Callithrix jacchus: one gene and its partner. Each later gene encodes a partner of the first gene's protein in a complex. Links are inferred from orthologs where the notes say so. Each region holds a gene or a part of one and is shown in the gene's direction. Other genes may lie near its edges.

The links. The genes of interacting proteins can lie anywhere in the genome.
Region 2: the proteins of TLE6 (region 1) and OOEP are in contact, whole or in part, in a cryo-EM structure (PDB 8H94), measured with the Mus musculus proteins. The link is inferred for Callithrix jacchus from reciprocal best matches to the Homo sapiens genes TLE6 and OOEP. Residues at the interface, in NP_444484.1 of Mus musculus: Trp256, Ser258, Phe304, Thr305, Arg306, His307, Val318, Asn320, Val322, Asn323, Glu332, Ser333, Asn354, Ser355, Arg356, Leu373, Ala374, Ala375, Pro376, Ser377, Leu378; in NP_080756.1 of Mus musculus: Arg32, Pro33, Trp34, Trp35, Pro37, Gln39, Glu40, Glu67, Trp70, Met71, Gln73, Gln94, Pro95.

What each region holds. Positions count from the first base shown.
Region 1 is NC_133523.1:2,755,673-2,759,950, forward strand, and holds the start of TLE6 (transducin-like enhancer protein 6), read left to right. Parts: upstream 1-1,469; 5' UTR 1,470-1,537; exon of another isoform or gene 1,538-1,696; intron 1,697-2,286; 5' UTR 2,287-2,323; coding exon 2,324-2,374; intron 2,375-2,383; exon of another isoform or gene 2,384-2,527; intron 2,528-4,278. UniProt on the Homo sapiens protein: Component of the subcortical maternal complex (SCMC), a multiprotein complex that plays a key role in early embryonic development.
Region 2 is NC_133505.1:78,457,595-78,460,903, reverse strand, and holds OOEP (oocyte-expressed protein homolog), read left to right. Parts: upstream 1-1,484; 5' UTR 1,485-1,589; coding exon 1,590-1,779; intron 1,780-1,982; coding exon 1,983-2,162; intron 2,163-2,498; coding exon 2,499-2,578; 3' UTR 2,579-2,801; downstream 2,802-3,309. UniProt on the Homo sapiens protein: Component of the subcortical maternal complex (SCMC), a multiprotein complex that plays a key role in early embryonic development.

The sequences.
Region 1 (4,278 bases):
TATAGATGCTGTATACATATATACTATACATTCACATATATACTGTCTACGTATATCCATATATCCATATATAGGCTGTATACATATATACTATACATTGACATATATACTGTCTACGTATATGCATATATCCATATAGATGCTGTATGCATATATACTATACATTCACATATATACTGTGTACGTATATGCATATATACATATATATGTATAGCATATATGAATATATGTATAGAGTATATGTATGAACATAGGTATTCAGTATATATAGGAATATGTTCATATATGAATATCTACATACATGAAGTGGTCACATATATATAATATATATATTTTTTATGAGGGGGTCTTGCACAGTTGCTCAGACAGGAATGCAGTGGCACAATCATAGCTCACTGCAGCCTCAACCTCCTGGGCTTACGCGATCCTCCTGCCTCAGCCTCCCAAGCAGCTGAGACTATAGGTGCATGACCACGCTCGGCTAATTTTTTAATGTTTTGTAGAGACGGGGTGTCCCTCTGTTCCTAGGTTGGTCTCCAACTCCTGGGCTGAAGCGATCCTCCCACCTCAGCCTCCAAAAGTGCTGGGATCACAGGCGTGAGCCATGGTGTCTGACCTCATATTTTGAATAGGCCAAAACAGAGCACCGGAATCCCAGTCCGCCCTTCCCCCCGACCCCACATGGCAGGTCTCTCTCTCTCAGTCGCATCTCTCAGTCTCTCTCTCAGACGTCTGTCCCCAGCGCATGCAGCCCCTCTAGCCTCCCTGTCTGCTCCTGTAACCAGCCCACCTCTGCCTGAGAGAGGCCACTCTTCCTTCTGTCTGGATTACTCTCTCCCACCCGGGGCTTGGATCTGGGAACCCTGTACCAGCCTCAGGGCCTCTGCTGTCCTGCTTTCTGCTCTCAGAGCCTTTGTCACTGGGCTGGAAGAGCAGTTGGGAAGATTCCGTGATAAATGCATAGCCTGGGGTTAGGACCATCAAGGGGACCCAGTAAGTTCGCTCCAGAAAGAGGACTGGAAGCTTCGTTTGCATTGCACGTTATTTGATATTCAGGAAAATGTAATTAGTCCATATCTAAGAATTGGGGTGACAGCTCTAAAGATTGCACCCCCACTCACCTCCCACCTCCCACTCCTCACCTCCAGCCACAAGCCACTACCGGACAGGGCTAAAAATGCATAAAACAATGCAACTACTCGCCACTTATCCCTCCCCAAGTTCCACCTTCGGAGACTCAAGCCCCCACGCCCTCCTAAATATCCCCGCCCAAGCTGGGACCCCAAATTGCCCATGGCTGTGCAATTCCGCCCTTCTTGGCAGCGGGACCGAAAGGGTTAAGCGGAGGCTCCTGACTTGTTGAGCGACAGCTTGGCCGGCGGCCGGGGAGAGCCGACCAATCAGCGAAGGCGTACGCGACCCACGTGCGTAAACGGCCTTGCGATTGGCCAGCGCCGCCAGAGGCCTCCCCCCCGACCCGCCGAGCCCGAACCCACGTGCAGCTACCGCGCCTTCATTGATCGGCTTCGCGGTCCAGGTGGCAGCTAGTTGGGACCCATGGGCGGGGCGGGACGGGGCGGCGACAGGGCGGGGCGGGGCGGGGCCCGATGGGTCAAATGGCCCCCGTGGAGGGAAAGAGGAGTTTCCTCTTGGCCTGAACTTGGCTGACCTCTGCCGCTTCCGCCCTGTGAGAGACGTGAGTTGCCAGGCGCGCTCCTGGGGGTTGGGGGGACTCCAAGGTTCCCGGGTCGGGGAAGGGTCTGCAGGGACGTGGAGGGGCAGGGCTGCGGCAAGGAAGGAGCTGGGTGCTGCCGCAGGGATGGAGGTGGAGAGAGGTCATTTCTTCTGTCTGATGAATCACGCCTAGTGCACCTGGCTAACTCCTATTCATCCTTCAAAACCCCTTTCTAGTGATCTCCCTGTGCTTTAGGAAATTGTCTTAAAACTAAGGTTGAGGTTTGGAGACCTTCTCAGGGCTCCCCCATCCCTGACTGTCCCCAGGAGGGAGTGTATGTGTCCAGCCCCATCGTCACCCCAACCTCCTAGACTGAGGGATGAGGGGCAGGGCTGTTCTTTCTGGGGCTCCACCCCCATGCATCTGGGCAGCTGGAGAGGCATTGGTGAGGCCAGGACCTAGGAAACGCAGTGGGGAGCTGTGGGACTGGGTCCCTGGGGACTTACTAAACTGGGAGGTGCAAGAGGCCCCGGGGGTGGGGCAGGGGTGGGTTCCCTCCCTGGAACTGCTTTATTTTCTGTCTCTCAGAACTTGCTGTCTCCTTGTTTTAGACTCTGGCTGAAGTACTGGAGGCTTAACTGCCTGAAGATGACCTCTAGGGACCAGCCCAGTCCCAAGGGCACCCCAAAAGGCGTTTTGGTGAGGAGGGCATGGGGTGGCATCAGCCCTCACGGGAAGCCTGGGTCCCATGCAGTTCGGTTCCTTTCTGATCCTGTATCCACCTGTGACCTGGGCTGGCCCCATCCAGGCCTCGCAGCTGAAGACAATACCAATCACTGCTACTCAAGACAGGTGCCAAGGAGCTGGGTTTTTTGTTTTTTTTTTTTCCAAAGTGAGTCCAGATCTGAAGGGAGCTGTTTTTTAAAAAATCAAGTGTAGGCGGGACATAGGACCTCACAACTGTCATTCCCATCATCTTGGGAGGCGGAGGCGGAAGGATCACTTGAGCCTAGGAGTTTGAGGCCAGCCTGGACAACGTAGTGAGACCCCCATTGCTACAAAAAATACAACTAAAAGAATCCGCGGGGACTAGTGGCATGCCTCATGTAGTTCCAGCTACCTGGGAGGCTGAGGCAGGGGGGTTGCTTGAGCCCAAGGGGTTAGAGACTACAGTGAACTCTGACTGTGCCACTGCACTCCAGCATTGGCGTGAGATCCCATGTGAAAAACATATTTCAGCTTCTAATCACATATGTGATAACACAGGAACACAACACATATCCGGTTATATATATATATATATATTTTTTTTTTGAGACGGAGTTTCGCTCTTGTTACCCAGGCTGGAGTGCAATGGCGCGATCTCGGCTCACCGCAACCTCCGCCCCCTGGGTTCAGGCAATTCTCCTGCCTCAGCCTCCTGAGTGGCTGGGATTACAGGCACACGCCACCGTGCCCAGCTAATTTTTTGTAATTTTTAGTAGAGACGGGGTTTCACCATGTTGACCAGGATGGTCTCGATCTGTTGACCTCGTGATCCACCCGCCTCGGCCTCCCAAAGTGCTGGGATTACAGGCTTGAGCCACCGCGCCCGGCCCCGGTTATATTTTATAGCACTTCCCAGAGATGACCATTTCTAAGTGTAGGAGAGCTGAGCAAACTATTTTTTTTATTAAGGGGTCAGATGGTGGATATAGTATTTTATTTTGAGGCTTTATCGAGTCTCAGTTTTGTCACCCAGGCTGGAGTGCAGTGGCGTGATCTCAGCTCACTACAGCTTCCGTCTCCTGGGTTCAAGTGATTCTCCTGCCTCAGCCTCTCGAGTAGCTGGGATTGCAGGCGCCCGCCACCATGCCCAGCTAATTTTTCTATTTTTAGTAGAGACGGGGTTTGGCCACGTTGCCCAGGCCGGTCTCGAACTTGACCTCAGGTGATGTGGCCCATCTCGGCCTCCGAAAGTGCTGGGATTGCAGGCATGGGCCACCGCGCCCAGCTCAAGCCTTCTATTTTCAAAAATATGTTGTACTTCTAGCTTTATCACAAGAATGTGGTGAATATTTTAGACTTAGGCCCAATGCAAAATGGAAGATACTCTTAGGTGCTAAGTTAACAAAAGAGAAAACGAATTCCGGTTTGAGGAAGTCCCACCCTACCTTCTACGAGGCTGCTCAAATTCCTGCAGCCTGTGTTACATTGCTGCAGAAGTTATTTCAAAAACAGCGAAAACCAGCTGGGCACGGTGGCCCACACCTGTAATCACAGCACTTTGGGAGGGCGAGGCGGGTGGATCCCCTGAGGTCAGGAGTTCGAGACCAGCCTGACCAGCATGGTGAAACCCCATCTCTACTAAAAATACAAAATATCAGCCAGGCGTGGTGGCAGGCACCTGTAATCCCAGCTACTCGGGAGGCTGAGGCAGGAGAGTCGCTTGAACCCGGGAGGAAGATGTTTCAGTGAGCTGAGATCGAATGTCTGCTCTCTAGCCTGGGCAACAAGAGCAAAACTCCATTTCAAACAAAAATCAAAAAGCAGAAACCGCAATTACTTTTACACCAGCCTAATACCTGCACCTTGGTTGAGAGGGAGACCTGGGGGCTTGGGTG
Region 2 (3,309 bases), on another chromosome or scaffold:
AGTGCAATGGCGCAATCTCGGCTCACCGCAACCTCCGCTTCCTGGGTTCAGGCAATTCTCCTGCCTCAGCCTCCTGAGTAACTGGGATTACAGGCACACGCCACCATGCCCAGCTAATTTTTTGTATTTTAGTAGAGACGGGGTTTCACCATGTTGACCAGGTTGGTCTCGATCTCTCGACCTCGTGATCCACCCGCCTCGGCCTCCCAAAGTGCTGGGATTACAGGCTTGAGCCACCGCGCCCAGCCCTTGAGTTTTTTTCTTCTATGCTGGCTCACACCTGTAATCCCAGCCCTTTGGGAGGCCAAAGCAAGAGGACTGCTTAGGTAGGAGTTCAAAACCAGCCTGGCAACATAGTGGGACCCTGACTCTACAAAAAAAAAAAAAAAAAAAAAAGATGGAAAATAGTTGGGTGTGGTAGCAGGCACCTGCAGTCTCAGCTATTCAGGAGGCTGAAGTGGGAGGATCACTTGGGCCTGAGAGGTCCAGGCTGCAGTGAAAACTGAGATCGTGCCACTTCATTCCAGCCTAGGCAATAGAGTGAGACCTATCTTGGAACAAAAGAATTTTTTTTTTTCCCGTTCCCCAGAAAATATTTTTTAGAACAAACACATAGTTAACTGTAAGAACAAAATAGTATATTCGGCAGATACTGTCTATTCTGAAACAACTACCAAACTATTTCCAGAAATACAGTAGAAAATATGTAAGGACATGCATGGGGATGAAATACACTAGTTCAGGATGATGTCCTCTAGGGAGGGAAAGGAAAGATACTTGAGTAATACCTATTTTAAAGAACAGAGAAGTGAAGCAAATGTGGGGAAATGTCAACATCTGTTAAACTGGGAGAGGATACATGGCTGTGTCATATGACTCTTGGGTGTGTGAAACTTTTCATAATTCAAATTTTTAATTAAAATTACAAACATTGAGAAGAAATATGCATCAATACTGGCTGTCTTAGGTTGTCTAGGAGAGTGGAAATAAAGGAAAACTGTGTAACTTGCTACATGTTCTATAAGCCCACCTCTGATTTTTTGCTTAAAACATGACACACTTCCTGGAATAATTTCAAAATGGTAACCATCCAGAGAGTCAGAAGATAAAAAGGGGGCAGAAGAGAGAAAACTGACACATTCAACAAACCTGCCTGGGTTTGATCTACCTGTCTTTAGAAGGCAACGTCGAAACCTTAACCTAGACAGCAAAGGTGATTCCCAGTCAACACGGTCGTCGATTCAAACTCACACTTAATCAGCTATACGATGAGCAGAGGCCTTTTAGGCTAAATACCTTACGAGGCAGAGATGTCGAAGGAGACAGTTGAAGACCCAACAGGAGCCCAAATGAATACTAGTTCTAGGTCAAAAAGGCAGTCCCGACGATTGTGGCAGCGCAGAAAGTGCCCGAAGCGCCACTAGGCCCAGGCGTCGATTGCATCAGCTCACCCGGAAGCGGTGCCAGGCGCCGCCGGAAGGGGCGGAGCGGGTCGAATACTGTAAAAGAGAGCCGGAGCCTCGCGGCTGAGTCTGGAGGAGGTCACGTGAAAGCCGTCCCGCGTGCACTCCGCGGCTGCTGGTCCCAGTATGGTCGATGACGCTGGTGCTGCTGAGTCCCATTGGGGCAAACAGACCCCGGCCCACTCCCTGGAGCAGCTGCGTAGGTTACCACTTCCGCTGCCACAGATTCGCATCCGGCCCTGGTGGTTTCCGGTGCAGGAACTGAGAAACCCTTTGGTGTTCTACCTGGAGGCATGGCTGGCAGACGTGCTCTTTGGTGAGCAACCTAGACTCTTAGTCTCTCAGTCTGAGAGAGGCTTGGCAGAGCAGCTCTCTACAGCCTCTTTCCCAGATTCTCAAGCCAGGAGTGTTGCTGTGGTGCCCACCTTCCAGCTGTTCCCTTCCCTGGTCAACATTTTCTTCAAATCAGCTTCTAACCTGTGACTGCGGCCCCTAAATAGTCTTTCCTTACTTGTTTAGGCCCAGACCGAGCCATAATTCCAGAAATGGAGTGGACTAGCCAGGCCCTGTTGACAGTGGACATAGTGGACTCTGGGAACCTAGTAGAAATCACCGTTTTTGGACGGCCCCGTGTACAGAATCGGGTGAAGAGCATGCTCCTGTGCCTGGCATGGTTTCACCGAGAACATCGAGCCCGAGGTGAGGGTCTTTGAGAAATTACACATGGAGGAAGCCACGAGTGACCATACTGGTCTTGCTCGGCTTCCTTCCATCCTCCCTTAACCTCTTAATTTCTTGGTTTCCGCACCCCAGGAAGTTGCACGAAGTTTTTTGGGAGGGGATCCCCGAGGTAGGACCTTGGGAAAGTCAGTGGAGATCTGATAGATTCAGGCCCATCACTGCCCAAGTCAGCCTCAGCTGGGCTACAGCACTATCGCAGATCCTCCTCTCCTCCCCAACTCCCAATCACTGAGTAGTTTGAAACAGCGAACACTTCTCCCTGTCCATGGTTAGTATCAACTCTTTCTCTTCCAGCTGAGAAGATGAAACACCTTGAGAAGAACTTGAAGGCCCAAGCATCAGACCCCCACACTCCCCAGGATTCTGTTGCTTAAGACAATAGTGTCAGTAGCATCTTGAGAACTTTGCAACTTCTGCTGCTAAAGTTGAAGAGAAGCAAGTATAGCATTCCTAAATCCCTGCATTTGTTTTTCCTGTGTCTTGATTCAGTGTGGTTTATTTTGTTGCAAGAGTGAATTTGAACTATTCTAATAAATGGCTATTTTGCCCAGTGACATTAAGATCTTCATACACTTATAATAAAGCAAATTTATAAAAGATTGACTCATTCATGTTTTGATATGAAGGGTAGGTAGAAGGCTGGCAGGTTGTAGTTTTGTAGGGTTTATTCCTGAATTCCCTCATCTTGAAACTCCTAATCCTTTTATGATTTTATGGTCAGAGTCAGGCCCTCAGCCACAGGGGGCAGATAGCCTCACAAATGGTGATCTGTTTTGTTTTTAGTCATTGGTTCTCAAACTTTAAAGCTTGTAATAAATCACCTTGGGAGTTTGTTAAAACATCATTTCCTAGGCTCCTTCTTCAGAAGATTCTGATTCGGTACTGTTGGGGTATGGTTTATTATTTGCATTTCTGATGAGCTCACAAGTACTCCCAAAGCAGCTCATCTGAATTTCTCACTTTGAAGCTGGTAGTTGACCCCCTGAGGAGCACCGGCTGTGCCTTTTCTTAGAGTGAGGCCTTCGTTGGCCACTCTAAGAAAAGTGATTCCAACGAGCAAGCCTGGGCAGTTAGCATTCATTAACCCTAGCATTGCAATCCCCAT